Styela clava: one gene and its partners. The main gene of each other region encodes a partner of the protein of the gene in region 4 in a complex. Links are inferred from orthologs where the notes say so. Each region holds a gene or a part of one and is shown on either strand. Other genes may lie near its edges. The genes, in order: THO complex subunit 7 homolog, THO complex subunit 1-like, SAP domain-containing ribonucleoprotein-like and THO complex subunit 3-like.

Region 1 (7,652 bases), on a different chromosome or scaffold from region 4:
ATAGTAGCCAGTGCATCATATTCTTGTCTGTTCTTTCGTACTAGTTTTGCTTTTTCCAAATCATTCTTACATTTCTCTATCTCATGATGTGCCAGTTCAACATTGTTGTCAATGTCGTTCTTATATTTGTACAAAACATTGAATACAACATATTATGGATCAATAAGCCAATTAAATCTCAGATATATATTTACATATAGTTTTATAATTTTTCTATGCTCAATACAAAATCCCGATCTCCATACGAAAACTGGAGAAGGTACTTATAAAACAGTTGCAAGAAACTACTGCAGTTGCATAGCTAGGCTTCTATCAAGACAACTGCTTTTGCCTAAGGGACAAAGTGTAAGTTCTAGGGGGAAAATATCATTTTTTATTGTCAACATAACTAGTTGACCATGATTATCGATAAAGACACTTATAACAAATAATAAGTCCATCAGACACTCACATAGTTGCTTAAATTGTGCAATAAATTCGTTGTTAACAATATTACATAGTGAATATAATCATTTCTGTTTTATTAATAAGAAGATGCTACCCATTGTGCTTGTTTTGTCACAACAGGGGAAATTCACAAGTTTAAATACCAATATCATAAGATTGATCAATCAAGCCTTTGTATTGTCTTCCCTCTCCCTAAAATCATAGTCGAATACCTGTATTTTTTCATACTTTCTCATCTGCTTTTTATTCATTTCATGAACATAAGTTGCCCTCGTCATTGCAAATTCACTTTGAGATAGAATTGATAGCATTCTTTGTAGTGTCTGACTGAATAAAAACCAGTAGTATAAATTTTGCAGTTTATTATATTTAGGCCAATTTTACCAGGAACTGTGATAACAGCATCTTGTTATTTGCATCTCACTGTTTTCTTTATTAATTGATATGTGTTTTGAAATCGAATGTCATAATACTTTTTTTACTTTCGGTGTAAAGCTTTTTGATTTCTAGTTTTGAGTAATTTTATGTATACTATAAGAAATCCATTATAAAACCACATTTTTATAAGACACTACTCTCAAATATCTTTTCTTTTTCAGAAATCCATTCTATATTCAACTCTTACTGTCTTAGTAGTTAGTACATATCTCTTACTGATCAGTTTCTGAAGATTCAGTATTGCACCATTTCATAAAGAGTTTCATCAAAGTAGTGAATCTTCTTTCATCCCCGCCTCCATCTCCATCTATCAGGAGACGCTTTCGAATTACTTCATCTAAAAAAAAATATTATTGCTTGAAATCTGAAGCAGAGAAAGTGGTACAGGATGAATTTTTACATTTATTCGGAATAAGTTCTGAAAGTAGATACGACAGTAAGTTGCCGTCATCATATCAACCAGTTGATAGTCTCTCATTCAATTATCTGCTCTGACATAGTATGAGAATAGTGAACTCGGTTGATCATATCAAGTCACAACTATGTCTTCCTCTTACAGTCTTAATATGACATCCCACCTACCAATAAAACATACCGGTATCAATGGGTCTTAAAAGAGTTAATTAAAGTCGTTGAGACATATTTCAGTATTCGACAAAGAATTCAAAATTAAGGGGTAAAAATTTTCATTATACTTTATATAGTCAGTTATGTAGCATAGGATAGGTACGGTACCCCTTTGAAATCTCCCATCTAAAAGCCAAAAATTGAGTGAAGAATAATGCAGTAATGTAAGTCTGTATGTGGGTCTGGTATAGTTTAGTACCGGTACCACATGTACTTCTAGTTGGCCTGACTCAACAATTTTTGCATATGTCAATCCTAACCCCCACCCAACTACGTCACCGAAAAAATACGTCATTTCGACATCACAGTGGCGTAATAAGGCCCACCAAAGTATGCGGCTGGTCGTCCAAAACGTGCAGACGATCATCCGAAATCGAGCAAGCTATTTCTCTCGTTTTCGCGTCACAACAATCACGATGGGAGTGAGATGCCATTTCGGGCGATCGTAATTATACTTTGGCAAGCCATATGACGTGATGGTGACGTAATTTTTGGATGGCATAGTCAGGTGGGGGTTAGGAATAACATATACAAAATTCGTTATGCTACCCCCACTGCAAGTACTTGTGGCACTAAACTAAACTATTTTTTGTTTTTCAGGTTACTTCAAAGTGATTAAATGAAGTAAAACACATAAGGAAAAAATCAAACAAAGACTCCGATATCCTGTGAAATAACAATCTTATTCCTATATCCTTGTCTGAAATCAATACCCAAGAATGAAAAACCTCACTTACACCCTTTGTAACCAATTTTTTTCCATATCCAACTTTAGTTAATTATAGTAATTTTACTGTTCCAGTAACTTTAATTACTTATCACAATCTGGACTATAATTTGGCAATAATAGGCTCTAATTTGGGGAATGGAATGGTCTCGCCCACCTCTTCATGCACCCAATTCTGGCAACTTTGGTTGGGCAACTTGGCATTTGACTCCAACTATACCGGTACCTAATCAGCTTGGCAATATGTTTTCAATAGAATCTTCCTTTTATATTTTAATTAACGATTGGAAGATCGATCAATTTGGCATTGGCAACCATTACAAAATTATCAATATGGTGTGGCAAATAATTTTTTTTCTTTTCTAGTATTTATTTATATTTTTTTGTTTACTGTATAGTACCGTATACCCTAAATTTATCGTGTTTTATTTTCACTTAAATAACTTCTCAGTGGTTGGGTGTGTGTGTGGCTGGTGGGTGCATGTGAGTGTGTGTGAAATAACTTAATAATTTTAGGTGAGTAAACACGTACCACTTCCTCTTGGCAAAACCTTCCATCTTATATTTTGTACGTTATAAAACCCTACCTATCTAAGGTTTCGTTTGCTCCCCTGATTTCATAATCAGTTTTTATTTATTTGTTTTTATCCGTCAAATGTATTGTTATGCTGATTATGGAGTCGAAATAAACTTATACTAGACCCTCAATTTCGTACCGGTACCGGTATAGATTGCAAATGTTCGGGCATTTCTGCTTACCATCCGTAGCCATTATCCTCTGATCCAGTTAATGAGTTATTTAATAACCGTTGAACCTTGATGACGTCTTGTTGAAAATATCCAGAATATTTGGCTGCCTTGCACCAGCGGTTCTGCGACTGTAGGGTACCGTACGACAGCACGCGTGCAAAAGTATTGTCAGAGAGTAACGCTGCAAACTGACAAACAGCAACCACTGTGAAGCTAGTAGCAATTTGACTTTTGTGTGCGGCGAAGCGGAAAGGTGAATATTGGCAGCAGAAATGAAGGAGTGTCATAATCTACATCCGAAAAAATGTAGAAAAACGAATTTAGAATACGATCAATGGGAAGATACTAATCATTTACGATAAATTAACATCTACAAAGCAAAAAATAACAATAAATTACATGATAAACAATGAAAAAACAATAAAAATGACACGAATTTTATTTAACTTCCTTCGAAATAGCAGATGAGCAATTCCTAAATCAAGTCAAGTTGTACAGTAAACAAAACTAAGGAGATGGATGACGAGTTTAAAAAATGGGGAGTCAGCGTACCCCCATAGGAGAACATAAGCCTTCCAAATTTTAAAACCTAGGGTATTCTCATAGCTAAAAAACGTCCTTATTCGGAAAATTACCTATAGCTAAAAAAGCTGATTTAGTCAAATTTCAAAGCCTAGCAGCACATCCTTCCGCCCAAGAGGCATCCGATTTGATTATTTATTATTAAAGAGGTTTATCTGAAGTTATTTACACAACTCGAACCTAAGTCATGTTTTTATTAGAATCTAGGGTATTATCGAAGCGAAAATGGCCTATTTTTGAAAAATTGCGTATAGCGAAAAAAGCTGATTTAGCCAAATTTCAAAGCCTAGCAGCACGCCCTTCCGCCCAAGAGGCATCCGATTTGATTATTTATTATTAAAGATGTTTATCTGAAGTTTTTCACACATCTTGAACCTAAGCCTTGTTTTTATTAGAATTTAGGGTATTATCGAAGCGAAAATGGCCTTATTTGGAAAAATTACTTATAGCGAAAAAAGCTGATTTAGCCAAATTTCAAAGCCTAGCAGCACACCCTTCCGCCCAAGAGGCATCCGATTTGATTATTTATTATTAAAGAGGTTTATCTGAAGTTTTTCACACAACTCGAACCTAAGCCTTGTTTTTATTAGAATCTAGGGTATTATCGAAGCGAAAATGGCCCATTTTGGAAAAATTACGTATAGCGAAAAAATCTGATTTAACCAAATTTCAAAGCCTAGCAGCACACCCTTCCGCCCAAGAGGCATCCGATTTGATTATTTATTATTAAAGAGGTTTATCTGAAGTTTTTCACACAACTCGAACCTAAGCCTTGTTTTTATTAGAATCTAGGGTATTATCGAAGCGAAAATGGCCTTATTTGGAAAAATTACTTATAGTCAAAAAAGCTGATTTAGCCAAATTTCAAAGCCTAGCAGCACATCCTTCCGCCCAAGAGGCATCCGATTTGATTATTTATTATTAAAGAGGTTTATCTGAAGTTTTTCACACAACTCGAACCTAAGCCTTGTTTTTATTAGAATCTAGGGTATTATCGAAGCGAAAATGGCCCATTTTTGAAAAATTACGTATAGCGAAAAAAGCTGATTCAACCAAATTTCAAAGCCTAGCAGCACACCCTTCCGCCCAAGAGGCATCCGATTTGATTGTTTATTATTAAAGAGGTTTATCTGAAGTTTTTCACACAACTCGAACCTAAGCCTTGTTTTTATTAGAATCTAGGGTATTATCGAAGCGAAAATGGCCCATTTTGAAAAAATTACGTATAGCGAAAAAAGCTGATTCAATCAAATTTCAAAGCCTAGCAGCACACCCTTCCGCCCAAGAGGCATCCGATTTCATTATTTATTATTAAAGATGTTTATCTGAAGTTTTTCACACAGTTCGAACCTAAGCCTTGTTTTTTATTAGAATCTAGGGTATTATCGAAGCGAAAATGGCCCATTTTTGAAAAATTACGTATAGCGAAAAAAGCCGATTTAACCAAATTTCAAAGCCTAGCAGCACACCCTTCCGCCCAAGAGGCATCCGATTTGATTATTTATTATTAAAGAGGTTTATCTGAAGTTTTTCACACAACACGAACCTAAGCCTTGTTTTTATTAGAATCTAGGGTATTATCGAAGCGAAAATGGCCCATTTTTGAAAAATTACGTATAGCGAAAAAAGCTGATTTAACCAAATTTCAATGCCTAGCAGCACACCCTTCCGCCCAAGAGGCATCCGATTTGATTATTTATTATTAACGAGGTTTATCTGAAGTTTTTCACACATCTTGAACCTAAGCCTTGTTTTTATTAGAATTTAGGGTATTATCGAAGCGAAAATGGCCTTATTTGGAAAAATTACTTATAGCGAAAAAAGCTGATTTAGCCAAATTTCAAAGCCTAGCAGCACACCCTTCCGCCCAAGAGGCATCCGATTTGATTATTTATTATTAAAGAGGTTTATCTGAAGTTTTTCACACAACTCGAACCTAAGCCTTGTTTTTATTAGAATCTAGGATATTATCGAAGCGAAAATGGCCCATTTTTGAAAAATTACGTATAGCGAAAAAAGCTGATTAACCAAATTTCAAAGCCTAGCAGCACACCCTTCCGCCCAAGAGGCATACGATTTGATTATTTATTATTAAAGAGGTTTATCTGAAGTTTTTCACACAACACGAACCTAAGCCTTGTTTTTATTAGAATCTAGGGTATTATCGAAGCGAAAATGGCCTTATTTGGAAAAATTACTTATAGCGAAAAACATTAACATTAATTTACAACGAGTTACGGGTAAAAATTAACCGACGGCTATCACTAACAGGTAGAAACGTTTTCGCAAAAAGCGCATCATCACCGTTTTTGTAAATTTAGAAACGTCGAAACAGATAAGTAAGACAAGTGAACATAGTATTTTGTGGAAATTTCTTGAGGTATTGGGGAGAAATATTATTTTGACCATGTAGAAATGTCATTATTGCCTATTTATTCACGTGTTTAGTATCAGTGTTTTAACCCAAACCCAAATCTGAGTTACGTGAATACTGAACATTGAGTATTCTAAAGATTACCAATTTGCGTTTATTGATTATTATTTAATACGAAAGTAACACGGACACGATCTAAAATTAAAAGCATAGAAATGTGAACAATACGCCTCACAAATATCGCATCCCGGGGTCAGTAATAATAATATTGTTGGTCTAAAATTGGGACCGTTATTTACAAATTGTGTTGCAAATCTTACACAGAATATAAAAATCACAATAAAATTAATTTGTGTTGTAAATGCACTCCTCAATAGTTGTCTTTAACATCTTCGCCGATGTGAACTCAGAATTCTGTCCGAAATATAAAAACCAAACTACGATCATTAATGTTTGCTAGTGAATAATAAAGTGCTTTGATATAGTTTAACAATATTAATTGGAATGTCAGCCTCCGAAACGATCGTGGTGACAACATTTACTGCAGCCTTCGATTATGACAAAATTATGAAATAAAAAAGCAGCATTGTTATGGAGTTTTCAGCCATCTAGTAAAATCCGAAAAAGAAAAAAAAATTATTGCCACAGCATCGTTTCGGCGGCCTATATCCCAATTAGTGTTGTTTAAAATGACAATATTCATTATTCGGTGTTTGTTAAAAATATTCGAATAACTCAATATAAAAAATACGATTGTGCCCGCCACTCATCATGGCGCATGTAAATAATCAATGAATGGCAATAAAAAATCAACTTCATTAACATTAAATTCCAAGTATTAGTTTCACATTTCATGAATTTGATCGACGATACATGCGAACGTGTTTTTGTACATATAAACACTTATGACGCTACTGACATCTGCGAGTTATAGTTCTCTCCAAAATTTATTTTTCGCGATTTTTAAGGTTTTATTTCTAAATGCGGGTATCCGCGGACTACGGATTAATGGTCCATGTTTGAAATAGGACTTGCAAAATATTCACCAAACACCGCCAGGCAAGGAGAGGCGGGCTACACGTAACTGTGGAATTTCGCTGTGAACAATGTATACTTTTTAGTTTATTAACTCTTCCAGACCCTGGAGATTAACCCTAGGGCTTACATTGCACTACCTTTCATTCTCAAAATATTCCAACTGATTCGCCGATTTTAAACGCCAAACTAACGGAGATTTTCACTTCAACGAAAATTGAGCAAAATTTGTAGAAAAGTCTTGAACGTAACAATTAGTGTGTCTAGTAGAGGGTTAATAACTATTCCTAATTAAATATTTTTTATTTAATTTAACTGTAACCCCCGTTGAAAAATCCTGGCTGTGCCCCAGATCGTATGCTTTTACCCCAAAATTCAATAACAATGTTGAGATTTTGCGTATTCAACTTATGATCCATTTAAATAATTTCATAAACTTCAGTGAATTTCTATTCAACAGCCAAAATGTACTCTTCCCCGAACAACTCACTGCTATAGCTTGAGAATAACTATCCAAATCTATACTTTCGAAATGTTTGCTTCTTCCCATCATAGAATTGGTGGTACATTTATTCTTTGAGGTAGATAGGCTGAAAAGTTTCAATAGATTACACCTCTGTGATTACTTGTCAAAGATTTTAAAACTTAGAATTCACCACTCTCATAATCGTA
Region 2 (7,581 bases), on a different chromosome or scaffold from region 4:
AAAAAAGTTGCTGTTGTTTTATTTTAGTAATAGCAAATCACTTGAAATATACACGAATCAATAAGAAAACAATCAGCTATTATTCAATATTGACCTGCAGTATAAAACTGTGAAGATTTCCATGTTGCTACTCTCTCTTCAATAAAGCAAAACACTGGGTCACATGTGTCAAGAGTAAGGCAATCTAACAAATCTCCTAGAAGGCTGAATGGTAGACTTGCCGAACACATACCTAAAACAGAATCAATTTTATAATAGGTTTGTTTAAAAAAACTTAAATGCAGTCCTCTTGATAAGTTGTAGAAAAGCTGATTTCGGATTGTAATTTGGATTGCTAATTCCTCAAAAAAAGAGAAATGAAAATAACTTAACTGACATTATTGAATATTGAATGAAACTTGGATAGACAGGGTTATCTAATTCAAACCACCGAAAGTCAGTGCCACACGCCAGACTAACTTGAATTCAAATAGTGTTGTAGTAAAAAATTGTAATGAATGAGGTGGCCTAATGGTTAAAGTGTTAGACTTAACTATGATGGCATAGCAGGTTAAATCTCAAATCAAATCCTATGCAGACCAACTCGCCCAAAGTAATGAATTGGGTAAGAAATAGCAAACAGGAAAGATTCCGATCCTTCCAAACTATAGTACAGTAGAGCACAGTTTTACGATTCCAAGATGTCCTGACATTAAACACTCTATTCGTCGCTGAAACGTGGGCGACTGGCATGACAGCAGATGCGTTAAATCGCGCCAAGCTTGTCTTGGTAATAATTTTAACCAATTAGACACGTTTGTCACATGACCAAAATTGTGTTTTTTTGCTAAAAACTCTTGAATGGTACAGTAAATTTTTTTCCGTTTGTAAATTAGATTATTTTTTTCAGAGGAATCCAATTATGATGTTTTTAGATACGCTTCCTTTCAGTTTATTGCGGAACGCCAGTTTACTGTTTTGAGTCGATATGGAGGCCCAGACTGCCTCGTGAAGGCGGGGCACTCACTGTTATACCCGATGTCTCTAAATGTGGGCGATATTTATGGAATCGGAAAACTGTGCCTTTCTGTAGTATCACCTTACCAAGCAGGGGTTCCTTGAGCAGAGTATTGTACAAAGCAAAAGATGTATTGAAACATCATATAAAAAATTTGTGTTATACAGAATAGAACCTTGTTTAGCAGCAACAACAGTGAGTGAAATAACTTTCAATGCATCATTTGCCATTTCTTTATCCCCATGAATTTCTTTTATTGTCTCCTGAATGAGATTGGATACTGTAATACGAAATGCTTGATCTGCTGCCAATCGTTTATCTGCTTCAGTGCCAGAGATAGTTTGAAAAACACTTTTTATTGAAACAATAGAATCAATCTTTCCACTTGATAAATCTTCGAAAATTTCATTCTGCATAAACAAATATAAAGCGTTCACAGCCGTTCAGTAACAGTTTCATATCAGCATAATATTGAGAAGTTGAATAGAAAAATATTAACAAAACTGAAACATTCAAAACATCTTTATGCTGCAATTTCCAATGAGTTTACTTAAAAATGAGTAGTTTCAAAATTACAGAATTAATAAGGTATAAGACGTCTCAAAAAAAGAACTTCGCAAATAATAAGTAACACCATAACAAATTTTTCAAAATTCGATCAGGTTAGTTTTATGTGGTGAGTTGATAGGCCATACCTGTTGTTGAGAGCAATGGTACTGCATAATTTTACAATAAGGAAAGATTCTCCAATTCCAAGATGTCCTGACATTTGGTTCAATAAAACAAACACTCAATTTGAACACTCTGAAACGAGAGCATCTATCATGATGGAAGACGCGTCAGATCGCGCCATGCTTGCCTCAATCATAATCTTACAGGTAGGCTACTTAAACCTGACACGCGTCGGCGGGCACACGACCAAAAGTGCTATTTTTTGCTAAAAACCCTGGAATGTTTGATGACATCCCATTTAATTAAACAATTATTTTTTGCCTGTAATAAATAGTTCAGAGCGTTCCCCTTCACCCAATCATTGAAACATCTACTCACGGTTTTATTTTTTGTTTTTCAGGTTACTTCAAAGTGATTAAATGAAGTAAAACACATAGGGAAAAATCAAAAAAAGACTCCGATATCCTGTGAAATAACAACCTTATTCCTATATCCTTGTCTGAAATCAATACCCAAGAATGAAAAACCTCACTTACACCCTTTGTAACCAATTTATTTCCACATCCTACTTTACTTAATTATTGTAATTTTACTGTTACCGGTAACTTTAATTACTTATTACAATCTGGACTATAATTTGGCAATAATACTGTAATAGGCTCTAATTTGGGGAATGAAATGGTCTCGCCCACCTCTTCATGCACCCAATTCTGGCAACTTTGGTTGGGCAACTTGGCATTTGACTCCAACTATAATCAGCTTGGCAATATGTTTTCAATAGAATCTTCCTTTTATATCTTAATTAACGATTAGAAGATCGATCAATTTGGCAATGGCAACCATTACAAAAATATCAATATGGTGTGGCAGAAAATTTTTTTCTTTTCTAGTATTTATTTATTTATTTTTGTTTACTGTATAGTATACCGAATACCCTAAATTTATCTCGTTTTATTCATACTTAAATAACTTCTCAGTGGTTGTGTGTGTGGCTGGTGGGTGCATGTGAGCGTGTGTGAAATGACTAATAAAATTCTGCAATTTGTTTATAAATGACCGCATGATCATAGTCAACAAGCTGACAATAAGACTGACTTACCTTGAAAGAGGACAATGCATCCTGGAATACAAAATCAGAGGCCATTGCAAAAAAAAGCTTCCTAAGTCTGTAGGCCAAAATGAGTCGGAATTATATAGGTGAGAAGATCTCTACAAAATTATAAAACAGCCCAACACCACTGTGGAGCTAGCAGCGAAACACGAAGAAAATTTCTCGAATTTTGACCCCGGATATTTTTCTGACTTTTGACCCCAAAAAGAAAGTTTTTTTTTTTCAACTTTCGTTGAACAATTTTTTCAATATCCACTTATTTTTGTACCTCTTCACAATATTATTTGCATTGATGTTATTCTTCGTTTAAATATATTTGGTAGTTAACCACCGTGTTTCCCCGAAAATAAGACAGTGTCTTATTCAATTTTCTTTTTTTTTTCTTTTCAGGGGATGTCTTTTATTTTCATTCATCAAAAACAGAATTACAAAGTAGAGAATCACGAGATTTTTAAATATAAAAAATATACAAATCGATATCAATTTACTTAAATAACACGTTTTCCTCTCCCATACGTTTTAGACTGATCATTTAAAACGTGCTGGAGAGATTTCTTGATATATAGGTCAAAAAAAATTTGCGTTATCTACAAGGACTCAGTGGTTCTCAACCGGGGGCCGGTGGCCCCCCAAAGGGGCCACGGAGCAGCTCAAGGGGGGCCACGACACGAGTTTAATAATTGATTAAAAAGCGACTTCGTTTGCATACTTTCCCTTTAAAAGTAAATTCCCGTTGCCTCAGTTTCATTATCTGAATAGGTAATTTCAGGTCACAGGGTGTATTCACTTTCTTGTGCGTGAATTGTTTGATCATAATGGAATTAGGAATCTATCAATCAAAATAGTTCGTTGGTAAGCAGTCTAACCTGCAGACTGGTTTCACTATGGACCTTTCCCCGACCTTTGACCCACGAAAAATTCTTCCTGTACTTCATCATTGCAAAATTTTCGGGGCTTATTTTAAGAGTGGTTTCGCGAGTTGGCGCCTGTAAAATCGGTATAGGTTTCAAACATAGGTTCAACAAAGGTTTATGATTCATCGCATACAACAATCTGTTTTTTAAAAGTACCGGTAAAGAATTTTAGCCCAGTCTATCACAGCTATTTCTACAGGAATTTTTAATTCCTGTCTGAGTGAGAAAAGTGTCTGAGCGGATGCGAAAAGGGAGCATTGTTACGTCACTTTTTGCATTTTGCCGATTGGCCAATGTCACGAAGTAAACAAGGAAGTCGATGCTCGGGGAAAGGTCCATGGTGAGAGATAACTGTCGGTATCGTATTTTAGACTCAGAATCCTATATTTCTAATGCCCAAAATACGAAAATGGAACGACAGTTACGTTGGCTTTGGCTTTACCAAAGTAAATGACACAAAATGTGCGCAAGTCCTGCATTTCTCGTATGTAATGAGCAATAAATCATTACGTCCATCTAAACTCCAAAACCACCGTGACAAAAATTATCCCAAGATAAAAGCTGTTTATATAAATGATATCGGTGCTTGGCTGCCAAGTGAATTAAATTCGACAAGAAAGCAACATTGACTATGCCAAGTACCACTATTGCATGTAAAAAGTATTTCAAACATATTTGCACTGATCTTGCTACCATGAAAACAAAATTTAGAAACCGTCTTGATGTTGACAGTGACATTCGTCTGGCTATATCACAGACGGTGCCTAATATAAGGAACCTAGTCAGACAGTCCCAAGCACAAGATTCCCATTGATTGTTTACTGAAAAGCTTTGACTTTCTTGACTGTGGTTTGTTTTTGCATTTCATAAAAGGTCGTAAATACATAATACCATCCAACGCGTCTAGTTTTTTAAAATGGGGAACAGGGGGGCCACGAGTGCGAAAAGCCAACGGAAGGGGGCCACGAGCCATAAAAGGTTGAGAACCACTGTACTAGGTCTTATTTTAAGTGGAGGGCTTATATTAAAATCATTCTTAAAATTCCGGCTAGGTCTCATTTTCAGGGTAGGTCTTATTTTCGGGGAAACACGGTAGTCGACGGTTATTTTTTATTTCGTTCTCAAAAATCATACGGCTGGGATGGGTGGTAGCTGCCTTTGATGACCTCCCAGTCGATACCTGAATAAATGCTGTGTAATTTATCATTTTAATATTTATTTGTATTGTGGTTGACAAAAATATTGAATTCGCTTCCTCTCTCTCAGATAAATTCTTTTCATACATACCCTGAGAATTTTATAATTGGAATAATCTCTTATTGGACACGTCAGTGTACATAACGATCGTTTCAATATTATGTTGTTGTTTTTGGTATTTTCTCCTTCGTCATGATAAAATCGCTTTTCTCTTCGAATACTGGACCAATTGCTTTGAAATTTTCATTTTTTTAAGATTGATTTTTTTGCCATAAGGTTATTACTTTTTTTTAGTCCTAAATTTTCTATGAACCCTATGGGATCCAATATTTCATTCAAATATTCGCTGTATCACTTTTCAATCGTGGGAACACGGATTTTAATCCGCCAAGCGTGACGACCGATTCCGAAAATTCTCGCTACTCGAAACTCGGAAGTTTTTTGAGGTTACCGGTACCAGCAATGATAAAGATAAGGTAAGGTAAACTACTGCAGTACTGCTTCGCTTGGTGTCAAAATAGGCGTAGACTGGGGTATCTGCTGTGACGTGTCCATATATTTGAGCATAGCTCTCTTGTACTTATAAGACTGGTTTTGCAAGTTGGCACCTACGAACTAGTTTACATTTTTCAACGCATCATTTTGATTCGAAATATTCAATCAATTTGAAAGTACCAACTAATACTAATATCAAGTCCATGCTTCCGAAAACAAATACCTGGCTAACTAATCCCATACCTGACCTGAAAGCGTTAGGAATACGCTTGGCACCGCTCCTCTGATCAGGGTACCCTTTGTGGGTTCGCAAGTTCGAATCCCGTGGCAGATAAATATGTGCGATAGGGTTTACTGGACTCGTCGCCGCCGTAGGGTGGTCACGTAACTGCTGGTCGGTTACGGCTTCCCGTATCATGAAGTCCATTGCGACACAAAGGTTAAGGCTCGACAACTTCGATTAGATGCAGTTTCTATCTCTAGTGATGCTTTATTTAATATTATCGAAATTGCAGATTAAATTGATCACGACCCAATTAATGAAGCAGCCCATTTTAAATATGGCCATATCGGCCATGGATTGAATATTTTATGCAACAGAAAAGTCTTTACATATTCGTTGAAAAAGCCGGCTCTTTTAACGAGTGGCGTAATCGCGACGACCTGTTCAGAAGCCGTTTCTTGGGGACTTCAAGGCGGAGAAGATGTATTTTTGATAAATATACTCGATATGTATTTTATTGTTCCTGATTAAATTTTACTTTCTGGGATTTTATAGCAGATCTTGGGATTTTTCTAACGACGATAACGAATTCGCAAGAGCGCAAAAATCTATATCAAAACTAAACATATTCGGTCAGTTTATAACATATATAATTTATAATAATTGGTAAATGGATGTGATGTCACCGTATATTGCTATATCGTAGACCGTCTCAGAACTGCCAATCGCCCGTTCACCCTTCAGCTTCAATGCCCACGTTAATGAAGACTTTAGAAAACTCTGTTTGATTTTATTCTCAGATTTCCACGACACACAGAATACAAATCTTAAAACATTTATCCACACTAGCTTTTCATTGAAAGATATCGAGTCGTATTTATACGTCGATCATAAATCTAATTAAATGCTGTAAACGTGAGCTCGTGATTCACGTTATAAACAGAAACTCCTATTATCTCAATAAGAGTAAATATGTACATCGTACGGATGGGAACTTAGATATAATTATTTCAATCAGTGCCAAAGGTCTTGAGAATATAAATTTTAATTTGATAATGACTGGGTGGAACATGTTATGTTCTTAAAAATGGTGTAATTTGATTCCTACGAAAGTCTTTGTTCGAATTTTGGGAAAAATTAACTTTGTTTTGATGATTTAAACATGAAATGGGTACATTTGGGGGGGGGGGGGTAGTTGCTATAAGTTGACCTCACATCATTGTGTGCAGTGGGATTTTAGATTAGTAATGTTGTCGTAAGTCGTCTAAACCGCTAGTTACTTACGGTTGAACACAATAAAATTAAAATAGAAAAACATTTTAAATTTTCGTAGTTTTCATGGATTGAATATTACGCGACAGAAAAAGTCATTATATATTATATGACTATTTTAACGATCGCGCAATCGCGGCGACCATTTCAGAAGCCGTTGCATGGAAATTCACAATTCCGATTTTAAAATCCCCCTTTTGAAAATCCTGGCTGCGCCCCTGCCCGTACCCGATAGCTGTTACGGTGTAATTTGGCAATTAAAAATTTGAGAACCCCCCTTTGAAAATTTGTTTTCTACGTCCTCGTCCCTGATTTACATGTTCTTCGTATTTACGGAAAATGTTAACTATTGAGCAACATTAAATATAACTTTGGTGTCAGCGTGTCATCAGTAATATCCGACTCGGTTTTGGCATAACTATTTGTTTAGAGCTGTCGTCTAACTCTAATATCATATATTTTCGAAACTATAGATAAATTCATGTTATGGAATTTATTTCTTAAACTGTTTAAATCGGAGGAGGTAATGTCAAAGTTGAGTCAAATATCACTCGTGAACAAATATAAAATTATTGCTTAATTCCAACAAGGATCACCGCTCGTAAAATTTTTTATCAGACGAATCGGCTGCCTCTTTGAATTAAATTTGTTTCTACGAGGTGTGGCTAAAATGAAACGGGATTGTCGTCACAGATTGCGC
Region 3 (7,250 bases), on a different chromosome or scaffold from region 4:
GATCTGATCCATGTATGAACGTATATGATCCACACCATGAATCTTCGCTACCTGGAAAATTGCACATAACAATAGCAAACTGCCAATATACTATAGATTAGCAAAGTTTAAACCTTAAATGTTTTGTATGAATACCAAAAAAGCTTCAATGGTCAAATAGCAATAAAACAATATTCAATCACTTAAAATAGCTTACATATTATTGAAAAAAATGATTGTAAAATCTCACCTTTCGTGTACCCAGGTATCTGACGATTTACAGCCTTTATCAGCATTCTTCATTTGATACAATCAGTTTACTAATTTAGTTTAGTACAGTTTTGCCAGTACAATTTATTACAATATTTGGTGTTAAGTCTTATTGGATAACTAATTTTTTCAATAAGTTAAAGATTCAGACAGAATAAATTACTCATAAGCAAAACATTGAGTGAATTTCAGAATACCACATTTATGGCCCCAGCCCCTACACCACATTTATTTTTTAGTAATGTGCTCATATTTAGTCTAGTCATCTCCTGTGACTTGATACCACTCTCGCTATAATATAGGTTCTCCAATTTTCAGTTTATTTCTCCCATCATAGTTATTATTGAGTAGCCGCTATATTATTATTAAATCTAGACAAAATGGTAACAACAAAGAAATTAATCATGAATTTCAAAGTTTGATGTAAAGTTCGGTGGCGATATTCAATATATCAAGATAAAAACACATTGGATTGAAAATGAAATTCCAAAATAATTTGACCAATATTTTCAAGACTAGTGACGTAACAATCAAGCAGCCAAGTATACAGAATTATTTCCATGGATTGCAAATGATATAATAAACTGTATAATAATCTAAATTTTAGGAATAGGACTGTACAACGCCCAGAAAAAATGCGGATCGAGATTTGAATGCAGATATGTTTGAAGAAAAATGAAAATTCAAGCTGATGTAAAATTAGTTATAATTTACAACAAAGTATTCTTTATTTCAGAATATTTCCATCTAGAGAATTGTCATCTTGATGCCCCAAGTAGGTGATCAAGAATGGACACCAGTTTTTGGATACGTTAGGGAAATAGCTTCATTTTCCATTTACCATATACAAATTTATTATGCTCGAGTCATAATCAGTATTTAAAGAATTTATAGATATAAGAAATGTGATATAGTGCAACAATACCATGTTATAAATCGAATTCTGTTATATAATTTTCAATACTAAGTATAGAATGTAACATCGAGGTTGTAATGTCAAAATAACTGCTAGCGACTACTAGTATAATCACCCTGTTTGTGTGTCATTTAATAAAACAGTAAAATTGGTACCATTAAATATGCCTATTGTAAATTGTACAACTACAATGCAACAGAGGACCATGATGCATACCAATACTTTTTCCAAGGCCAAGGCCAAAGTTACAAAAACCATCACCCAACAGAACAGTTCAAAAGTTGCTATGATTGAGTAGACTAAGCAGCGGTAGTGGACATCAGAGAACTCAAATTCAATTTAAATTCAACTAATATGGTTCTCACTAGTGAGAACAATACAACATTAATAAAACACAGATTGTCTTAAACCAATTTGAACTTGTATGCAGATGAAATTAGGATACCTAGGTGTGTATCACACATACGATCAAAGGGGCCTATCAACAATGCACATGCATGGAATGAGGTAATAAGGTAACTCTGCTTCAAACAGTCAGCCCGAACCTTTCAGCCCTCTTTTTCTTTTTATCAACATCTTCACCTGTTATTGTACCAGATGTTTCAATACCAAACCTAGCTTGTCGTTTCCTCCGTTTTTCATCTTCTTCATTAGTACTTAAGGTACTGGAGACGGCACCCCCAAACCTTTCGGCCCGTTTTTTGAGTTTATCAGGGTCCGCACCAGGTGTAGTACCTATCCCTTTACCTGTTCCGAATCTTTCGGATCGTGCAGCTTTTCTTGCGTCAGCGTTCATGTCAGATACGGTGACACCAAATTTTTGTGCACGAATTTTCAGTTTATCAGCATCAGATAAGCCAGTTGGAGAATGCAAGTCTTTAATATTTTCAGTTAATGAATCCTCTTCTTCCTCTATCTTTTTGTCATTTTCAGTTTCAACGCTCTCAGTGTCATTCGGCACTTTTTCTTTAGTTTGTTCAAGAGGAGCTGATAAAACAGAATCCTCTAGTTTTTGATCATCTATTAATGATTCTTCTTCATCCTCTTTTAATATCTCATCATCCGCAACCTCTGCACCTTCATGTTCCTCCAAGTATTGTTGAAGTCGTTCAATTAGGTCGTGTTTATTGCCTCCAGTCTTCAACCCTCTCAACTGTAATTCCTTCTTTAACTCAGGAATTCTCATTTTACTGAGATCAATCACAACTTCATCTTCTGATGCCATTTTTATTATAGTTTTATTGCTTACGGTAGTTGAAATGATACTGCAAATGAAAGCAATGGTCATTATCCAAAGGTCATTATTCAGATAATACTGCTGTACTGGGTAAATATAAATAACATAACCAGCATTGCTGCAAACAATCAATTGCAAGTGAGTTCCATTTAATGAATTTATGGAAAACAATTTATTAAATGAAAGATGTCGAATCGATATTTTCAGATTTTAGAGCAGGGGTCTCCAACACGCGACCCGCAAAGCATTTTTTGCGGCCCGCGTTGTGAGATTTTTCCAGAAAAAAAAACAAAATAGTATAATGTCAACTATGAGTTTTATCGTGTTATTTAACATCAAGAGTCCGGTACAATAAACTGTTAAAAGTAAAACGAAAATATCAGCCGTTATTCCACTTTACCACGTTCATACTTTATTCTATTGTAATTAATAAATTAGTTAGTTATATACTCTATTGTAATTATTATAGTTAGTTAGTAAATTAGTTATCATTATCCTTGCGACATGGATCTGTGGCTTGAACATCTGGAAATTTTTTCATCTTCATGCACAAACTTTTCCATCTATGTTGCGTGACACAAATAATCACCATTCGAAGTTATATATTTCAGTACTTAGTGGCATAGTGATTGGTCACAGCATTTAATGCAATTAAAACAGATAAATAATTCGATTGATGAAAAAATTATATGCATGTGCCATGAAATCAATCATATCACTGTAATTTATTCCAAATTTGGCATGAATTTATTGACGTAAATATAGTGAAATGAATATGTAAATATTATCTTATAATGATCCTAAGTACAGAAGTACTGCTGTCAACCTGTCCAGAGCTGTGGGCAGTTCATTGGAAAATAACAAGGTCTGACTGTCTGAGAAGGCTAGCTCAGCTTACAGACTTAGCCTAGTTGTTGAACTAGTCTGCAATTTAGATCTAGGGTCGAAATCAAATTCCCTTGTACATCAATAAACATTTTATAATTTCAGAAAATACGGTAGCTTGAATTAATCAGATTGACATTGCAAATTCAAAAATAATAAACTTCAATAAGACTATCTGGGAATGGATTTTCTATATATTATTCCCCACTCACACTGTATTAACTTAGGCAATCTACATCTCAGCATATTGCATAAGATTGTAAAAACAAAAATATCACGGGAATGATGTATTCACCAAACCAGCGACACACTGAGGTAAGTGCTCAATCAGTCGATGCTAAACGACCCACAGACTTTTCAGACCACGAGGTGGCATAAGACGGTTTGAGTTCTGAGTTTGATTTTCATTTGCCTCGGGATTTGATTGCCCTTCTTGGTGACAATGAAGGTTGGAGATTAATATATACTACTGGTATCAGACAGTTGCAGTCAAGCTAGAATAAAGACGCCCCCGAAGCCCAAGATTTAGGTAAAATATGTTTCATGTTTTAAATAGCGCTAGCAATTTGATACGCGTAATATGACGTCCCATTTTCAGTTGCTATGACATTTACTACAGTCATGAGCCTCTTTAATTGCATTTAAATTAAATTCATTACGGGTACCTAAGACACTTGCTCGATTTGCACACGTATCACACCTGTAATAAATAAATTCCCATAATTCAAGTAAAGATTGACTTTTTGTATGACGTCGCTGACACTATTTCTTGCTTTTTACAATTTTATATTGTCACAATCCAATCCAATTTTCATACAGATGTCAGCTTAATTGTATTGTGTCGAATGTAGATTCTGGTGCTGCCATTTAAATAATCTTTTTTATTCTTAAACCCCACATCCCGCCGAAGTGGAAATCGCCATGATAGCAACCGAAAATACAACTTTCAATGGGAAAAGACATTTATGTGGCTCACCAAATGACCTGATGGCTCTACGTCAGCCTATTGCAAACCCATTATTGTGCTAAGGGCATCAAATCAGACAAATCATAGGGCTTTTGTACTTAGTAGAATTGTTAGCTTTTTTCGTCTTGATTTGTCTTTTTCCGATCACTGGGATCTGACAACGCTGTAGTCTCACTGCCCTGTTTTGGCGGTAGTTGTTGGTTATTGTTCGCAAGTCTAGCAGTTTTATGTGTTATATTAGTTAGGTTTACGTCCAGTTGTAGGGATAATTAATTGCCCGTTCTACAGGCTTATGTTATTGGTACATATAACTGCTGTAACTTTTATTGTGGAATTTTAAGTAAGCTAGAAATAGACTATAATCTGATTGATTCCTGAACCGAAATTGACGTTGTTTCTGTATATTTTAAAGCAGTGTTTCCCAACCCGAGTCCGCGGTCTCAAATGAGTCCGCGGAGCGTTTGAATGAGTCCACAACGGGCCAGAAATTCACTGCGGGCCGCAAACGTTTTTGCGAGACCTAACTATCAGCCAAGTTATGATTTATGTTAGAATTTACATAAAACATAAAAAAATAAGTTTATTCATATCACTTAATCCAGTCAATAATTTCTGGTTACTGAGTAGGGCTTGGCATATATATATTCGAATATTCAACTATTAGAATAGCAATTTTCTATTCGAAAATTCGGCAACAGGTGGCGTGACAGGTCACCTGCGCGTCGCCTAACCAAACAATTGCTAATTTTCTACGAAAACACCAGTCGGCACGCGCGTCGATAGATACGTAAGTAGTGTTTCTCGCGAGTGCGAACAACCAGAAATAATTTTTTTTCTGGTAGGTGTCAATGGTGGCAACCCAAATTTTCTAAATTGAAAAGCGGCAATACAAACTACTATAGATAACACGGAGAACACCATAAGTTTTGTTTTATGGTAGTCCGCAACCGATTGAAAACACTTTTTTACATTGCAAATCGCAAAATTTCCGGTGCCACCATAGTATACGTACAAGGGCATTTTCCCTTAGGATACTTTGCTTTACTGCCTCCACATTGGTATGTAGGCTACAGTACTGGAGCGCCGTAAGTTTTGTTTCAGATTTGTCGAATTCACAAGATCGCAAAAATTATGTATCAAAACTAAATATAATCGGGTAACATATTCTCACATTAGTATATTCGCAGATTGCCGTGGAATTTTAATGTATAATGGCCTTTTCTGTCGCACAATATCCAATCCATGACAACTACGAGAATTTAAAATGTCTTTCTATTTTAATTCAATCGTGTTCATGGTAACTCGCGGTTGCGTCCACTTACGAAAAGATGAAAGCATTTTAGGGATAAATTCGTTATTTTAGTTAAAATTCATAGAAAGGTTTCAATTGGATATTTGGGAGTAAGGTATTGAAGAAAGGAATGTGTTGAAAGGTCTGGTATTAGGAGTCGTCTTGATAAGTGTCGTCTCGTCTCTCGATGTTCTAATGTTGTCTTCATCGTTTGCTCTCCGTGTCTGTCCACAACCTTAAACTCATCTACAACGTCAAAACGTGTTTTTATTGGCTAAAATGGTGACGACGTGTTCTTTAATGGCTAAGGCATTACTTCTTTAAAAAATTCGGCCATTTTAACGAACGCTCAATTGCGGCAAATTTCCGATTATGAAATTCGTTAAAATTCCGTTGTATTTGGTTTTATTGCTTCTTCACACAGAGTACGGTTGCAAGAAATGCACCTTGAGTCCGCAAAGGTTTTCGCTAATGAGGAATAAGTCCGCGACCAAAAAGAGGTTGGGAAACGCTGTTTTAAAGTTTAATTTGTTATTGCCTGGCACAAAACGTTTTGGTAAGATTGTAATTTGGTATTCTACATCACTGGTTCTGTTGATATTTGCCTCAGTAGTGATGTCTGGATGTGTTGGTTCGATATTAATTTGTGATCAACATTATTATTGTCTGAATAATAATTACTTTGATTAACAATTTAAGCTTGCAAGAGCTCCAATACATTATTGTTTTACATGATCTGTATTCGAATATTTTTATTTAAAATCAGAAAATCGCTTCGCTATCTTCGCATCGCTATACTACACTTCATTAACTTCACACTACACCTTGTGAAAACCTCATCCAAATATCGCGAACTGTTTGTCTAGATTTTATTGCAATATATCAAATTATTTTGTACAACATTATTGATATTTGTGGCATTGGAAGACACACTGAGAGTTGCGCGTTTTCGAATAGTTTTCCACGAATCAAAGATCAGCCAGATATTTCAGTCACCCCCTTATGCGACACCTGGATTTGCCAGGATACATAAAAAAAAGTTACCCTATGATCACAGTGTAAACAAAATGGTCAAGAGCCTCTATGACCCACAAAAGTCCTACACAATTAAATGTTTAAGTTGTTCAATGTACTGTATTACTATAAAAATCAGCATTATTCCATTCTATTTAACATTGTGTTGTGAAAATGAAATATCTTTCTCTCGTGCTACGAGGCCGCACTTTTCCCGCTGTTGACCAACTAAAAAATATCAACGTTGGCTCGCTGGTGCAATTTTCCCTCCATGCTCGTCAATTTCTGTTTTGACTTAGTCTTCCGCCCCCTCTTATTTCGGCTCCGACCCTATTGTTTTCTTTTTTTCTCCCTTGTTTTTGGCTCAAATTTTTTTTTTGACTTCCTCTCTCACTTGTTTTGGCTGCGACCCTATTTTTTTTCGTTTGTCTCTTGTTTTTGGCTGCGGCCTTGTACTTTTGTAGTCATTTTTATCGTTTCACTTTTTCCTTTCGGCAAGGCGGCTCATGGTGCTACTCGTCAGGAATACGCTCGCCATCGCACCTCTGATTAGTCTGCGTGGGTTTGCAGATTCGAATCCCATGCAGGGATGGTTATGTGCGAGAGGATTGCTCGACTTCTCGCCGACGTAGGGTGGTTCACGTAACCGACCAGCCACCATCAAGTCCATGCTCCCGAAAACAAATAACTA
Region 4 (7,788 bases):
AGAATTGAGATATCGTATCATGTTTAATGTGTTTTCCTGCTTTAAATTAATGTTTTCATGTTTAGAATCAAGACGATGGCACAAGTGACCGTACATATGGACATGCTCTCGTAGCTGGAATCGACAGATACCCTCGCAAAGTAACAAAACCTATGTCAAAGAAAAAAGTAAAAAAGCGATCTAAAGTGAAGAGCTTTGTGAAAGTCATCAATTACAATCACTTGATGCCAACAAGGTATGGTGTGGTCTTGCTTTCATAAGAATTCAAACAAATTCATTCAATGTATAAACGTTTTTTATTGCAATGATAAGTATCAACATTCTTATTGACTGCACTATAATATTATTTCAACACTATTTGTTTTCTTTGCTTCTGTTTATCAAGTGGCTCAAATATTTCAAAAAATAATTTTTGTGATATTTCGTGACCCAAGGATATAACCAAATGGCATGCAGTGATTTCATGTCAACAAATAGTATAATAAACACTGGGTTACATTGTGATGTGTTTGGTCGAGTTACTGTTCCACTTTCTCAGTTTATCTTACTAAACTCAAATCAGATTATACTAGAATTATTGTACAAATAGTGGAAAATTAGTGTTGGAAAAATAACAGAATTATACCATATCATAGAATGTTAGTAATCTTTTTTACATTGAAAAAGATCGTTTAATTTAAATAGATACTATAGGTGGCCATTTAATAATAATAATATGGACATTTTGAAGATACTATACTAGGCGCGTTGAATTATTCTAAAAATCTGCGCACCATTCTTGTACATATAGATATATATTTACTGTAGTTACTCGCCCTGTCTCGAAACGATATTTGTAATTTCATAGCAGTAAAATTTTATTATGAAGTTATCTTCATGGTTTTCTTATGTTCAAGTTTGACAGAATAGAGATGGAAATAATCCTAAAACGAGTGTTCTACATTCTAATGTCTGTTTATCCTGAGTCTTATTTGCAGCAAACGTAGCTCCAGGTGTCTCAAAATAGAAAACATAAAACTACCGGTACCGGTATTTGAGCATGATATGTGTATGTTCAAATTTAGTAACTATATTGATGGATCAATGGTTTGGCAGTGGCACATCCATGCATCTGGAACTATCAACTGGTTAATGCAGTTGTTCCCAATTTTTTTTGTTCAATTCCTTCTTTGCCCCATTGAGAATTATTTATTCTTCCCTCACTATGCATGTAAACTATTTTTTTTATTCAATGTTAGTGTTATAGGCACGAGTCACACCTTCGTTTTGTATAGTTTAAGTAGTTGATTGTGTGTTCATGAATATGTGTTGTAGTTATAGTAAAAAATATTTGTAATATTACCTCAATACAGAGCAAAATTCTACCTTGAAACGGCAAAATTTCTCTCTTGAGTGCAATTCAGCCCCGGTTGGGTTAAATATCCCCATTTCCAACCTGGACTCGTAGGTGTTCAACCAATTTCCATGGTGTAGGAAACACTTCTATATCGAATATTTTCTATGTCTACCATAGATATTCCGTTGACGTTCCCATTGACAAACAAGTTGTTAATAAAGAGGCAATCAGAGATCCTGCTGGTCGACGAAAAGCGAGGCGAGAAGTTAAATCAAAATTAGAAGAGAGGTTAGTTTTTTTCTTTTCTCTTTTTCACGTTATTTTTCTAGATAAAGGTCTGGTGGCCTGCTTTTTTAATAAGGATACCAACAGAATTATTTGATTATTTTTAACAAACTTTTTAATGCAAATACCGTGGTTCTTAAAGTGGGCGACGCACAAGCACATTTTGTTGGTGCGTCGCAAAACTCTTCTTTGTTTTGTGGAATTGTACCTGTTTTGTGATTGAACATTTTTTTATTTGAACAAGAAATTATAAAAAGAAGATTCGCAAGTAGTCTTTGGATTTCTTCGGATAAAAATTATCATTTCTTGGTTAAAAATTGTTGCGCCATCTCATCCCCTTTGCGACTTCGTATTTATGTGAAGCAGGCTTCTTTACCATGGTTGTAATCTAGACGAAATATAGATCTCGAGCAAATGTTGAAAGGTAAATGCCTGCGGCTCTCACAATTCAACCACAAGCAGTACACCCGTCCCATTAAATGCCATTTCACTGACTTTTGTTATGTTTTGTATGATCGTTTTTTCGAAAAAGGTCTTTAGTAAAAGGTATCAAGATGTTTTATTAGGGAATCGCAACTTGAGCATATTTTTCCAAGAGTGTCCGATACAAAGAAGTTTGAGAACCACCGCTTTAATAGATTTAGCAATTATTACGTGAATGTGGCTTCTGAAGAAGCAGTATATACAGGCTTCAGTACTCCATATTTTTTTGTTTGAATATGGCTCATAAAAAATGAATGATCTGTTGGTTTTAAAGAGTATTTTAAAACATTTTCAATACTATGTACATGTAGTATAAAACTAAATTTTGAATCCGAATTTAACTTTTTTTGAAGCATACAACAGTTCTTTTTTTTTTAAAACTTGAATCTTCATTTGTAAATATTATTACGGATAATTTATACTTTACATATGTCATTAGGCATTAAATTGAGTCCGCAATAATAAATTTTAAAGCAAATTTTCAAGAATTTTACTTGTACTTGCGCTACTTATTCTAGATTTGTGAGCCATATAGTAGTTCATGGCAATAATCAAATTATATTCCCAACATTTATTTACTATAATGATTTTTACCTCACCTTGCTGAGTTCATTGAAGGTCAACATTCGATAAAATTAAACTTTCATAGCGATTAAAATGAAAATTATCAATTCTTTTTATGCCTGATGAAAGTACATTCAAGTCGAAGTCGAAACCTTTGTAAATTTTTGCGATACCTGGATGTCCCAGACACAAGCTATCCTTTCTGCTATGTTTTTGATGTTCATCCCCAAATGGATGGAGATGGAGTTAGGCTATATATTCTGCTTATATCCTATTTAATTGTGATTAAACTTGTATATATTCAATTGTTCCATACATGTTTGGTGATAATATACTGAATTATCATGTATATCTTTCAGATACAAGACCGGCAAGAACAAATGGTTTTTCCAGAAGCTTCGATTTTAAAATACTTACGAAGTTCGAAATATATGTCATAAAACCATTATTGTGTGTTTATTTCGTTGCAACTATCAGAGTTTACGCATTGATCAATGTAAGGCCAGACTGCAGAATAATACGACTTTCAACTTAAAGACGCCTGGGTGGCAAACAAAATGTTGGCCTTTTTCAGGATAAAAAACAAGCTACAAATAGAAATTTAAGTGCCAAATCCACTCTCTACTGACGTAACCTTTGCAAGATAGGTAGTTCATGTTTATCCAGGGCAATGTTATAGTCTCTGAGCTTTTGTGAATTTCATTTGTTGGTTTATTCTGGTCCCACTGACGGGAAGAATGGCAATGCAGAAAGAACAAAATGGCGGTACTAGCATAGTGTGTGTGTCAGGTTCGACAACCAATGTTCCCAGATCTAAATCAACAAATTGGGAGGGAAAGTCTCAAAATCAATGTTATTGATGGTAATTATCGTATGCGAATCAGCCAACTAGCGTCGATTATTAGAGATTAATATTAGAAAATTACCATGTATAAAATGACTCCGGACCTTTGACCCCCGAAAAATTCTACCCATATTTTACCATTGCAAAATGTTCGGGGTTATTTTAAGAGTGTTCTTGCGAGTTGGCGCCAGTAAACTGGGGGTATGTGTTCCAAACCATCATTATGATTCATCGCATACAATACAACAATCTCTTTTTTAAAAGTACCGATAAAAAATTTTAGCCTAGGCTATCAAAGCTATGTCTACACTAATTTTTTTATTACAGCAATTAAATTAAAACTCCTAGGAAGACAGAGTAGTCATTGAATTATCTGATTTATATTTAAGTTTCCGAAAACTAACGAATAGAGTTCAAAAACAAGTTAATGTTTACGATCAGGCTTGAAAATCTGTCCTGAGTGAGAAAAGTATCTGAGCGGATTCGAAAAGGGAGCATTGTTACGTCACTTTGGGCATCTTGCTGATTGACCAATATCTCGAAGTAAACAAGGAAGTTTATTCTCGGGGAAAGGTCCATATATTGCTGCGAGCGTTTCCACTACTCTTCGAAAATTTCTCGTTGAATTTCATTTATTATTTTGCAGCTTTCAATCCATTCATGGTTGTTTATCGGTGCTTGTACACCATCCCCTTATATATCACCACGCAATATGGTGAGAAGGTGTAAGATCAGGCGAACGTGCTGACCATCTTATATCACAATGCAAAAAAATGGAATGCCTTCGAAAGATTCCTGCCTGAACATTCATTGATGTTTGCCATATAGAGTAATCATAACATTGCATTTTCTATAATATTCTTAAGTCTTGGCAAGGAAACGTTTTGCAGCTTCTGCGCATAACAAGCTGGAGTAAGTAAATCGTATTTGTCTCCCCCAAAAGGTAAGGACGCCAAATTCACAACTACGTTCCGTTCTCTCTCGCTATGAAGCTTTCTAGGTTTACAATATGACACTTGCCCAGTAACGAAAAATTTGTTTATTGACAAAACCAGATATATAAAAGTAAGCTTTTTACTAATGGAACATTTTGAGTGAAAACATTCCACAATAAATGCACGGTGTTTACTTGTACATTAGTATTTATTGACGGTCCAATTCATAACTATTCATGCATCAAAGCTTTTAACAAATCATTCATTATTATAATCTTCAAAAAACAAAAACTGTTTATTAACTACATAAATTTACTTAAACTAGGTGAATACCTACAGCAGCAATGAAATAGTAATAATTTAAAGTGAAAGAGTGTTTTTGCCTCGTATTTTTAATGTAAATCTGATAAATATAAAATGATTTATTCAGTAAATCTTCTGTGTTGGTATAATAATACCGGGTTAAATTGAAATTAAAATTGATCAGTTGCGACTTGCTAAAAATTAAAGCTCGCGCGCCACGTTAAAAATGGATTTCACGAAGAAAATGCAGCAATATTTTAAATTACACGATCGACAAAAAGAATATGGTGCTCATACATCGAAAGTCCATTCTGTTGCTTGGAACTGTGACGGAAGAAGACTTGCTTCTGGATCTTTCGATCAAACTGCCAGTGTTTTTACTCTGGATAAAGACAGGCTGGTTTGTAAAAGTTTTACGTGCATATTGTATCAGACAATGCTGTATAATGGTATCTTGGTATTGTGAAAATGGGGGGGGGGATTTCCCAGAAACCAGGTTTCTCGTGGGAAAATGCGATATAAAATAAATAGAAAACTTTCATTATAACATAGTCTGTTGCTATTTCTTCAGTATTTTCAATATTCTAGATGTGAACCTGTTTGAGAAATTGATACAATAACATGTTAAATACCTTTCTTGCAACCATTCTGCCATTAGTTAAGACGTGAACCACCCTACGACGACGAGGAGTCCAGCAATACTCTCACACATAACTATCCCTGCTTGGGATAGGAACCTGTAAACCCATGCAGATTAATGTATGTATGTTTATTCGTCTCGTAAAAGCAATATAAAAGAGTTAGTAATTATAAATACACAAGACCATACTGGCCTAAAACACAAATGTAAGGCGTACACCCCTTTTGATATAAATAATTTATGAATAAATCAAATGTGATGATTGTCTTTTTAATGCACAATGAATGAAAAGACCAAGCTGGATTAGATATGACTATCTCGGAATGAATTGTCCATTTAACAGCAACGATAGATATCTGTAGACTAATATGCATTTTTTTGTGATTTAGTCCAGAGATCAATCATACAAAGGGCACACAGACAGTGTAGATCAGCTTTGTTGGCATCCAAGCCATCCAGATTTATTTGCAACCGCTTCTGGTGATAAAACAGTAAGAATATGGGACGCAAGAAGTGGGAAATGCTCAATAACGATGCAAACAAAAGGTATTGTTTAATTAGCGATTTCAACTTGCTCTCGGGAATCTCACCAAGCCATTTCCCAGAAAGTAGGGATCTGATTTGCTTTAGGAAGCTGTAACCGACCATGGAAACCATCCTACGCAGGGTGATCAGATTTGCGATGGCAAGTGTATTCCTGATCCTTAACACATCGTGCCAACCACTGATTTGAGATATATCTATAATTTAGCTTGACAACATCGATATTGGTATTCCAGGTGAAAACATAAACATATGCTGGAGTCCCAATGGGCAAACAATCGCAGTTGGAAATAAAGAAGATTTGGTGACATTTTTTGATACAAAAACATGGAAAGTAAAGGCATATGAGCAGTTTAAAGTTGAAGTAAGTTTCATGTATTTGTAACTAAGCCAACGTAGTAATGGATATTTTTGTGAAATATTTTTTATTTTATTTGTCCAGGTGAATGAAATTTCTTGGAATAATTCCAATGATCTATTTTTTCTGACGACAGGATTAGGTACTGTTAATATACTAAGGTAAGCAGCATTTATTTCTTTCAAATACATTCCTAAGCACTATTACTAAAATAAGTACTCTTTTAAGTAGGTTTGGGTGAGGGCTCGAGGCCTTTTTTTCAAGCTATATATAAATGAGTGTTAGAGTATCAGTAAAAAGAGTAGATAAGTATTATCGGTATCTGGGGCGAGTGGACGGTGTGGTCATTCAGGCAAGGTCTGGTGCTTTCTCTTCTCTCTCAGAATGGCTTGCTGAAAACAGTGGGCCAGTGCACTAAATATACTTCAGGCATTATTTAACAATTTGTGAAATTAATTTACAGTTATCCTGACCTAAAGCTGATTCAATCGCTTAGTGGACATACAGCCAACTGTATATGCATTGAGTTTGACCCTACAGGTCGCTATTTTGCAACAGGCAGTGCTGATGCATTAGTAAATTTATGGGATGTAACAGAACTTGTTTGTGTGCAGACATTTTCAAGGTAGGTTTTACAAAAAAACTTCAAGCATATACTGCATTTTCAGAGCCACTAAACATTTTCTTAAATATATTTTTGTGCTAGGCTTGACTGGCCTGTTCGAACATTGAGTTTCAGTCATGATGGCAAACTTATAGCTTCGGCATCTGAAGATCATTTCATTGATATTTCTAGCGTAGCAACCGGTGAAAATGTTTGTGAGGTAGGTACTCTGTCTATCATTTACTTGATTCAGACACAGAGTATATGGAGGCGGAAATACTAAACCAAAATCGAAGTCGCTAGGGGCTATTTTTGCCCTATTTGACTGAATATTTTTCTGTTTCTTGGTTTAATTCTTGGGAACACTTGTGGATGACACTGCTCTCTTTTTTTGTTTGCCATGCAGGTCAAATGTGAATCACCAACATTCACCGTAGCGTGGCATCCTAAGCAACTCTTACTCGCATTCGCATGTGATGACAAAGACAAGTATAAACATGATAGAGATGCCGGAACAATTAAATTATTTGGTCTCTCAAGCGAGTCCAACAGTGACAAAAAGTAAGGGTTTGAGAGCTCACCTTCTTTTCGGAAATTAGCAAGCAAGACGATGGGGTAGCGGGAGCGAAGCGTACACTCAACACATATGGATTGACCACCGTGGTCAAAGTATCACGCAACAGTGAATTCATTTGAAATTGGATATTAGAAAAATAATACAAATATAGAAAACATCAGGTCATTCATATAGAATATCGATTTCTATGTATATAAGCTTTATAAGACAGTTCTGCTTGTTTCTCATCATACGGTAGTCTATCATGGGGACTGTGATCGTAAAAACATGTCAGAAAAACCTTCTTAACCAATGGCTGAACAGCGTTCAGGTCGTA

What was found.
Region 1: THO complex subunit 3-like (region 4) and THO complex subunit 7 homolog share a complex: the UniProt entries of both Homo sapiens proteins name them as parts of the transcription/export (TREX) complex. The link is inferred for Styela clava from reciprocal best matches to the Homo sapiens genes THOC3 and THOC7.
Region 2: THO complex subunit 3-like (region 4) and THO complex subunit 1-like share a complex: the UniProt entries of both Homo sapiens proteins name them as parts of the transcription/export (TREX) complex. The link is inferred for Styela clava from reciprocal best matches to the Homo sapiens genes THOC3 and THOC1.
Region 3: THO complex subunit 3-like (region 4) and SAP domain-containing ribonucleoprotein-like share a complex: the UniProt entries of both Homo sapiens proteins name them as parts of the transcription/export (TREX) complex. The link is inferred for Styela clava from reciprocal best matches to the Homo sapiens genes THOC3 and SARNP.

Annotation. Positions count from the first base shown.
Region 1 is NC_135258.1:15,197,935-15,205,586, forward strand, and holds the start of THO complex subunit 7 homolog, read right to left. Parts: upstream 3,190-7,652; 5' UTR 3,012-3,189; coding exon 2,999-3,011; intron 1,223-2,998; coding exon 1,102-1,222; intron 775-1,101; coding exon 660-774; intron 120-659; coding exon 1-119. UniProt on the Homo sapiens protein: Component of the THO subcomplex of the TREX complex which is thought to couple mRNA transcription, processing and nuclear export, and which specifically associates with spliced mRNA and not with unspliced pre-mRNA.
Region 2 is NC_135252.1:8,701,408-8,708,988, reverse strand, and holds the start of THO complex subunit 1-like, read right to left. Parts: upstream 3,033-7,581; 5' UTR 2,814-3,032; coding exon 2,769-2,813; intron 1,934-2,768; exon of another isoform or gene 1,720-1,933; coding exon of another isoform or gene 1,693-1,719; intron 1,408-1,692; coding exon 1,173-1,407; intron 233-1,172; coding exon 95-232; intron 1-94. UniProt on the Homo sapiens protein: Component of the THO subcomplex of the TREX complex which is thought to couple mRNA transcription, processing and nuclear export, and which specifically associates with spliced mRNA and not with unspliced pre-mRNA.
Region 3 is NC_135261.1:12,045,468-12,052,717, reverse strand, and holds SAP domain-containing ribonucleoprotein-like, read right to left. Parts: upstream 2,451-7,250; 5' UTR 2,391-2,450; coding exon 1,692-2,390; 3' UTR 620-1,691; downstream 1-619. Other genes in the region: serine/threonine-protein phosphatase CPPED1-like, read right to left, coding at 1-51, 230-275. UniProt on the Homo sapiens protein: Binds both single-stranded and double-stranded DNA with higher affinity for the single-stranded form. Specifically binds to scaffold/matrix attachment region DNA. Also binds single-stranded RNA. Enhances RNA unwinding activity of DDX39A.
Region 4 is NC_135250.1:23,430,333-23,438,120, reverse strand, and holds THO complex subunit 3-like, read left to right. Parts: upstream 1-4,641; 5' UTR 4,642-4,976; coding exon 4,977-5,150; intron 5,151-5,779; coding exon 5,780-5,936; intron 5,937-6,169; coding exon 6,170-6,297; intron 6,298-6,375; coding exon 6,376-6,452; intron 6,453-6,754; coding exon 6,755-6,916; intron 6,917-6,997; coding exon 6,998-7,115; intron 7,116-7,301; coding exon 7,302-7,460; 3' UTR 7,461-7,609; downstream 7,610-7,788. Other genes in the region: large ribosomal subunit protein eL27-like, read left to right, coding at 66-235, 1,514-1,624, 3,028-3,076; mitochondrial inner membrane protease ATP23 homolog, read right to left, coding at 7,639-7,788. UniProt on the Homo sapiens protein: Component of the THO subcomplex of the TREX complex which is thought to couple mRNA transcription, processing and nuclear export, and which specifically associates with spliced mRNA and not with unspliced pre-mRNA.